Saccharomyces cerevisiae S288C: one gene and its partner. The protein of the gene in region 2 interacts with the protein of the main gene of each other region in a pairwise test. Each region holds a gene or a part of one and is shown on either strand. Other genes may lie near its edges.

Region 1 (4,017 bases), on a different chromosome or scaffold from region 2:
TCTCCTTCTTATGCTTTTTATGCTTTTTATCCTTCTTTTCCTTCTTGTCTTTCTTATCCTTTTTGTGTTTCTTACTCTTCTTTTTTTCAATTACCTCCTCATCTACAACCTTTCTCTTCTTGTCTGCGATTTCTTCCTTTGTCATTTTAATCCCCTATATATCAAACTGTTAATACTTATGCTTTCGTTAAAAGGCTGTAAAATGAAGTTAAGCTATATCTCTGAGCTGCTATATTGTTGCCTATCTATTATTAATATTTTTTTTTTATTTGCTTCTTATGCGATGAGGTGAAAAATTTTTCATCTTTTTCCCGCAAAAATATTTCAAGAAATTTGAATTACAGTCACATCGCTTTCAAGAGCGCAAAGCCTGAGGGATATTTAGGTTGAAATATCTTAGTCCCTCGTCTAAAATGGCTTAACAAACCATTAAAAAAAATTCACTTTTATTACTTCTATGCAAATAATATACTTAAAATAAATAACGGTCGACTGATCAACACTATAAATTCACTTCTTTCCCCACGGTACGTGTTCATTTTCGAGTTCAACGTCAGAGGCCGCAACGGAAAATTCTCGACTATCTTCAATGGTATCGAAGTTATTACTATATTCAGCCTGTTCGTTCTCAGATTCTTCTAAAGCGTGGAATTCCTTCTTACCCTTGTATTTCCAGTAAAGAATCGAATACGCAGTATAACCAACAATAACTACACAAACATAGTTCATGTTATCCTTTGTCACAGGTAAAACTGGTGGAAAGGAAAAAAAGACCACAGAAAAGACAGTCCAACCCAAAAGAACAATGTTTGAAAAAAATCCAAATTTTCCAAGCCAGAATGGACCATGAGCTATGTTACGCTTTTTAGCAAGTAAACATATAACCGGAATGATGTAGGATAACAATAAAAATGCAATACAACCTGTAATTAAGGACTGAAAAGCCGTACTGGAAGCCAAATAAAGTAGGCCAATGAGGGTTATCCAAGCGCATGACATTAAATGAGCGTTCAAAGGTACACCAGTGTGTGGGTTAACTTGCGACCATAAACGGGATAATGGAAGACCATTGTCCCTGGCAAATGACCAACATAACCTTGCCTGCCAAGTGTGACAAGCAATGACGCAACCAAAAGAGGTAAATAGAATCAAGCAACCCAGGAAAATCGCACCTGATTTATTACCCAATGCCTGATTATAAATGTCCAAGATTGGGGCGCCTGTTGTAGAAGACAAGACAGCGTCCAGATCTTGTATAGAGAAGAACATAGCGATAACATAACAAAAGGAAGTGACAAACCCAATGGCGACTGTTCCCATGATAGCAATGGGAATAACTCTTTCTGGTTTTTCAACTTCAAACGCCATATGGGTTGCACAGTCAAGGCACGAAAATGACCAAGCTGGGTTAATCAAACCGACAATAAAGGCGATACCGCCGTTCTTCCAACCTGTTTCATTATTAAATGTGGCAAAAACAAACTTTGCATCGTTGAACTTTCCATGAGAACATGCCAATACAGTAATTGTAATTGTGAAAAAGGATAGTAGGGAAATGTATAGAGAGGAAGATGAAATGATAGGTAAGGATTTACCGTAACAGTTGAAAAACATCAAGAACAAATGCAACAATTCAAAGCAAACGAATATATGCCATCTCTTTGGGATGAATTCAGGGTGCGTCAGAGCGTACATACCAACCACTTCGGTAGCAACGGATAACGTAGTTGAAGCACTTGTGAACACGGATCCTGCGTAAGCAAATGAACCGCACATGTAGGCCGCAAATCTTTTGTACTTAGGAGGGGCAAGCTTCAAAGACCACCAAAACTGACCACCGGCGTGCGGATATGCGGAAGATAATTCACCCAACGAGGTACCAATGCAAATAGAAATCAGGGCAACAATAATTATACCGTAAACAATCATCATGGGTCCACCAGAAGATATACCTGCAACCATCGATGTAGAAATACCGAACCAGGAATTAGTCAAACCGAATCCAACACCAAGAATTGACCACAACGAAAATGACTTTCTTAGATGAACTTCACCATCTGCTGCTACAGCACCCTTGCTATCCATATCATCCAATGGCTTTATTTCCTCCTCAACTCTTAAGTCTCTTTTGTGCATAGAAGCGTTCGAAGATTGATCCGGCTGCATATAGCCACCGGAAGCATTATCATTCCGAATACTCATCGTTCTTCAAAATACTAATTTCTGAGTAAATGAGCCAGTTAACACTGAAAGATATTCTTTCTATGGAAGTTCGAAGATATTATAATTTTTCTTTATGCAAGCTATATATGATAAGCACAGACACCTTCTTTCCAATTGTTGGTATTCAAGGCTTTTATAAATAAGTTGGCTAACTTTCGTTGAAATATCGGCAGTTTAGAGAAGTCAAGGCCGCTTATCTTCAGTTTTCATTTTTTTTTTTTTCGTTATATAGGTTCTGCGCATGTGAAAAAAAAGAGAAGAAAATAAAGCCAATTATAAGTCATTACTGACGAAATTATAAGATAAATTAGAGGTACAATATACAAACTAGTGAATAACAGAACTATATAGGACTTAGATAAAATAAGTAGTTATATGTAATGTGACTTCAACCAGTTTAGTTCATGGACTTAACCAATTTGTTGATGAATTCTTCACGGTTACCGAAAGAACCACCTTGGATAAAGTGCTTGAACTTTCTTGGGACACCCCAACCACCAGATGGGTTGGACAACTTGAATGGCCACAAAAAGTTGTTAGCTTGCTTGAAGTGTGGACCAACAGTGATGATTTCGTGAATCAAATCGTCAATGGACAAGATACCATACTTACCCAAGTTGGCTTCGATGATAGCATTGTCGGACAATGGAACTCTTTGCTTGTTGATCTTACCGAAACCTCTCTTGTAGACCAATTGTCTAATAGTAGAGTACGATGGGTAACCGTAAGCAACGTATGGTTCAATCAACTTCAATAGTTCCAAAGTAGCCTTGGTAACTTTGACGAATGTACCAGAGTTGATTCTTGTCAATCTTAGCAATTGTAGAACCTTTCTTGGCTTAGGTGGGATCTTGTTAATACCCTTGATTCTGACAACGAAGACCAACTTGTGTTGAGCTTCGACGTAGTAGGAACCAGCAGCCTTGGCATCACGCTTAGCTTGAATGATGTTTCTTTCAGCAGTTTCGTATTCCTTTTGGTAAGCGGCGTTTCTTTCCAAAATAATGGCTCTCTTTTCCTTGTTAGCCTAAATGAAAATAAAAAGTAAAAAACAGTAAATTGATGTTAGTAAAAAAATACCAGATGGAAAACACAGTATTTTATGCTAAAAATTGTTACACGGCATTATCACTCAATGGTTTTTCTGACACTGGAAACACGGCAATAATTGTAACCTTAATACCTTAACTCTCTGGTCTATTTTACTTTCTATTTCTTTTCTTATAATCAGTCGAAAGATGGTGATAAGTTACGACAGCATCGTCAATGACTAGTCGAATATGTATTGGGATACAATGGATTTTCATCATAAAATGAGAAAACAAACAGAACGTAACAAATAGTCCATTAGCCTAATGATACCACAGGTGTTGAGAATATTGCAACTGTTCGAATGATACTTATCAAAATTGGCGACGCACGTGAACTCACATATATCCCAGTAAGAAAATGTGTTGCAGCATAAAATATAAATGTAAGCAAAAGTTTAACATACAGCCTTACGAGCAGCTCTTTCAGCAGCGACTTGTTCAGCAGTCTTTTGTTGAGCCTTAGACTTCTTCAACTGAGATTCTGGGGTCAAGATTTTTCTGTAATAATACAAATAATAAAATATTTTTGTTAGCATAACCGAAAATAGAATGAATTAGGTTTGTATGACCATCAAGTAAAACTTTTTTCTACGAAGTTACATCGAATTGAAAACACCACTTTTCATTCGAATGAAGGGAGTGAAACAGAGACACTTAGGAAATGAAAATTTGAGAAAATATTCTAATCAAGGTCGGCGATGAA
Region 2 (4,364 bases):
AAACTGGTTAAAAATACCTCGCTACTGGGGATATGCGTTTCCGTTTTGTTGCCAAATAAATCTACGTGGTATTCCGCCTTCAAGTCATGCAGTGTCAAATTTTCATGAGTGGATATAGAATTGCCGTTTTTATCTTTAATTTGGAAGTTTTGAACGTACTCAGCAATGTCCGATGGCCAATATTTCTCTTCGCTATACAAGTGCACTAAGGGACAATGATTGATGACATAAGATGGAATCTCTCCAGGCGTATGCAGACTTCTCTGATCATCTGTCACATCTGTGGAATTTAGTATGGGCGGCAATTGGCCGTCGACTTTGAATCTGTTCCGTTGACCCATGGCCATGTCTCTTTTCATCAAAGGCTCTAACGGATCATAATCTTTCAATGGTGGAAGGACAAGCGCCCGTATGACGCTTAGATCTACTATTAAGAACCATAACAATATTCGCGCTAGTACGCAATGCATTCGCTAACTGAATTGAAGTTTGCTTTACCTATTGAGTACTTTATCAAAGCTGCCTTCTTTGTCATTGACGGTAGCTTCAAAAGAAAAGGAAAGTTCAATTGTTAGTTCTATTATAAAGAAGAGAAATTTCAATTTTACATATTCGGAACTTTCTCTTTTTTCATTCGGCTAGTACAACTACGTAGAGAGTATATCTCGCATCCGTCGTATGAGTAACGAGTTATGCTTTCCTTCAAAAGAAGGGTTCTTCCTTTTTCACTTTTTTCTTCTTCCTATTTACACGTAGGACAGCGAATACGGAGTCATGAAACCTTAATAATGCGCTGTTTTTTATTTTTTCTAAGTTTCAATTTGATTTTGTCGTTTCCGTCATAGCCATATAACTAAATTGAGATATAAACTATTTTTATTTTTCCGAGAACGGCCACTGCTTTGGGGCATGCATTATACGATTTCTCGAGAATCCGGTGAAAGCGTATACCCAAAAGAGCAACATAATTGACTGACCCACAATTTGGTTAGAGACATGCTATGCTGATCCTGCATATCTCAAACAGGCAATATGATAACATACATAAGCAATCTCGGCTACGCGGATTTTGTGTGGGTCTGAAAAAAAAAAAAAAAAAAAAAAAAAATAGCGCGGAGCCGGGTGAGAACGTTGGACGGGTAACATAAAAACAGAGCTCTTTATATAATCAAGCATTCCCTCCATACAAAATGTGTCTGCAGCCACGTGCAAAGTACGGTCGTCGTGTGCTAAAGACCAGTAAGTACAGTCTAGCGGGCCTCTGACTAGCTTCTCTGTGCTTGGCGAGGGGTTTACTGGAGCCCAATCGGACTAGCCGGGCTTCGTCACTGCGGCAATGTCTTCGCCCAACGGATCGGAACAGCTCACTGATTTCACCCAAACGGGAAAAAGGAAAAACAAAAACAAAACAGAACGGCGTAGTTTCCGGCAGCCATGATGATCCCTGATCCATAGAGCCATTTTTTTCATTTATTTCCTAATGCATTTTGTTCATATTCTGGATCTGCGTTAAACGCTGTAAAACTGGCTCGTTTCTTTTATATATCTTGCAATCATTCGCTGCTCAACCATCCTAGTCTCTTTTTACACGTACCCTTTTTCCACTTTTTCTTTTAGTTTATATATTCTTTTCGCCTAAGAACATTTGTCTTTGTAATCTACTTAACTTAGCAATTGTCAGCTGTCCTGTTACAACCTGTTCTCCAAAGTGAATACAATAAGCAGTATTTGCTCTTTTTCGTCTAGGTGCGTTGATCTAATCTTCTTTTTATTTTTCTTCTTCGTTCAGCCTTTTTTGTCCTCACCGGTAGCGTTCACCCTAATTCTTTAATTGTCATACCCATAATTATACTACAAATTTCGTGGTCTAGTTTTCTAATATAACTAATTACTTTCTCCCTTCTTACTTCATTATTTTAATTTTGCATTAGTACTCCTCTAGCCAAAGATAAACAGAAATGAACAGACAGGAATCCATAAATTCGTTTAATTCAGACGAAACATCTTCGTTGTCTGATGTAGAAAGTCAGCAGCCGCAACAATATATCCCTTCAGAGAGTGGATCTAAATCCAACATGGCTCCTAATCAACTGAAGTTGACCCGGACGGAAACCGTGAAGTCATTGCAGGACATGGGTGTGAGCTCCAAAGCCCCCGTTCCTGATGTTAATGCTCCTCAATCTAGCAAGAATAAGATTTTTCCTGAAGAATATACTTTAGAAACCCCTACAGGTTTAGTTCCTGTCGCCACTCTACATTCCATAGGTAGAACTTCTACTGCGATTTCCCGTACGAGAACTAGACAGATCGATGGCGCTTCTTCGCCTTCTTCTAATGAAGATGCTTTAGAAAGTGATAATAACGAAAAGGGTAAAGAAGGCGACTCTAGTGGTGCGAATGACGAAGCTCCAGATCTAGATCCGGAAATTGAATTCGTTACCTTTGTGACTGGCGATCCAGAAAACCCCCATAACTGGCCTGCATGGATCCGTTGGAGTTACACTGTCCTACTGTCAATCTTAGTTATTTGTGTCGCCTACGGGTCTGCTTGTATCAGTGGTGGGTTGGGAACCGTTGAAAAGAAATACCATGTAGGTATGGAAGCCGCTATTTTATCGGTTTCTTTAATGGTTATTGGGTTCTCGCTGGGTCCTTTGATTTGGTCTCCTGTTAGTGATCTTTACGGTAGAAGAGTTGCTTACTTTGTTTCTATGGGTCTTTATGTCATCTTCAATATCCCTTGCGCCTTAGCTCCAAATCTAGGTAGTCTTTTAGCTTGTAGATTTTTATGTGGTGTTTGGTCATCATCTGGTTTGTGTTTAGTTGGTGGGTCTATTGCCGATATGTTCCCAAGTGAAACAAGAGGTAAGGCTATTGCTTTCTTCGCTTTTGCTCCTTACGTTGGTCCCGTTGTTGGTCCACTAGTTAACGGTTTTATTTCCGTTTCTACCGGACGTATGGACCTGATTTTCTGGGTCAATATGGCCTTTGCAGGTGTTATGTGGATCATATCTTCTGCCATCCCAGAAACGTACGCTCCAGTTATCTTGAAGAGAAAGGCTGCTAGATTAAGAAAGGAAACTGGTAATCCCAAGATTATGACTGAGCAGGAAGCGCAAGGTGTCAGTATGGGTGAAATGATGAGGGCTTGTCTGTTGAGACCTTTGTACTTCTCTGTCACTGAACCTGTTCTAGTTGCTACTTGTTTCTACGTGTGTTTGATTTACTCTCTACTATATGCGTTCTTCTTTGCCTTCCCTGTCATTTTCGGTGAACTATATGGCTACAAAGACAACCTTGTGGGTTTGATGTTTATTCCTATTGTTATCGGTGCTCTTTGGGCGTTAGCCACAACTTTCTACTGTGAAAACAAGTATTTACAAATTGTCAAACAGCGTAAACCTACTCCTGAAGATCGTTTGCTAGGTGCTAAGATCGGTGCTCCATTTGCTGCAATTGCTTTATGGATCCTGGGTGCTACCGCTTATAAACATATTATTTGGGTTGGTCCAGCTTCAGCTGGTTTAGCTTTTGGTTTCGGTATGGTGTTGATTTATTATTCATTGAATAATTACATTATTGATTGCTACGTCCAATACGCATCCAGTGCTCTGGCTACAAAGGTTTTCTTAAGATCCGCCGGTGGTGCTGCCTTCCCCTTGTTTACCATTCAAATGTACCACAAATTGAATCTGCACTGGGGTTCTTGGTTGTTGGCTTTCATCTCCACTGCTATGATTGCTTTACCTTTTGCATTTTCTTACTGGGGCAAAGGTTTGAGACATAAGTTATCCAAGAAGGATTATTCCATAGATAGTATTGAATAAGAGTAACGATTTTACGAATCGAGCATAATAATGAAAAATTATAGTAGTAGTAATGATAAAAACATAAGCAAACATAAGCAAACATAAGCAAACATATCAAACATGCATTCAAACCATTATCCGACAGTAATGTACATATATTTTTACGTATTTTACATTCTTTCTCTATTGTTCTTTTATCTATTGCTATCCTAAACAAATATATTGATTGACCTTCAAACCGTGAGTAACTTTATTAATTTATATGTATAGAAAAAAAAAAAAATTGAATTAGAAATTTGAACTTCTCAAGTTCATTCTTCTTGTACCTATGCGATGACTTTATTTTCGGTTTTTACATTCCTCCTCATTTGACCGAGGAATACGAATTTGATTGACCCCCACTCACTAAACAAAGGGTCGGAATTCTTTTCCACTTTAAAACTTAGTAATAACAACAAAGTCAACAAAATAGTCCTATTGCAAAATTGCAGGTTCCTTAATTAATATTCTTAAATGATCATCAATAGGCGTATTTTGAAATCTTTTGAAGAGATA

Evidence for each region.
Region 1: the proteins of TPO3 (region 2) and HNM1 interact in a protein complementation assay, tested with the Saccharomyces cerevisiae proteins (2 studies listed by BioGRID).

The regions. Positions count from the first base shown.
Region 1 is NC_001139.9:361,715-365,731, forward strand, and holds HNM1 (Hnm1p), read right to left. Parts: upstream 2,203-4,017; coding exon 511-2,202; downstream 1-510. Other genes in the region: RNA-dependent ATPase DBP3, read right to left, coding at 1-145; 60S ribosomal protein uL30 RPL7A, read right to left, coding at 2,621-3,250, 3,719-3,812. UniProt on the Saccharomyces cerevisiae protein: Sole choline transporter in yeast. Also transports ethanolamine.
Region 2 is NC_001148.4:837,372-841,735, reverse strand, and holds TPO3 (spermine transporter), read left to right. Parts: upstream 1-1,958; coding exon 1,959-3,827; downstream 3,828-4,364. Other genes in the region: TDA6 (Tda6p), read right to left, coding at 1-470; NCA2 (Nca2p), read left to right, coding at 4,323-4,364. UniProt on the Saccharomyces cerevisiae protein: Cell membrane polyamine/proton antiporter, involved in the detoxification of excess polyamines in the cytoplasm. Recognizes spermine, but not spermidine.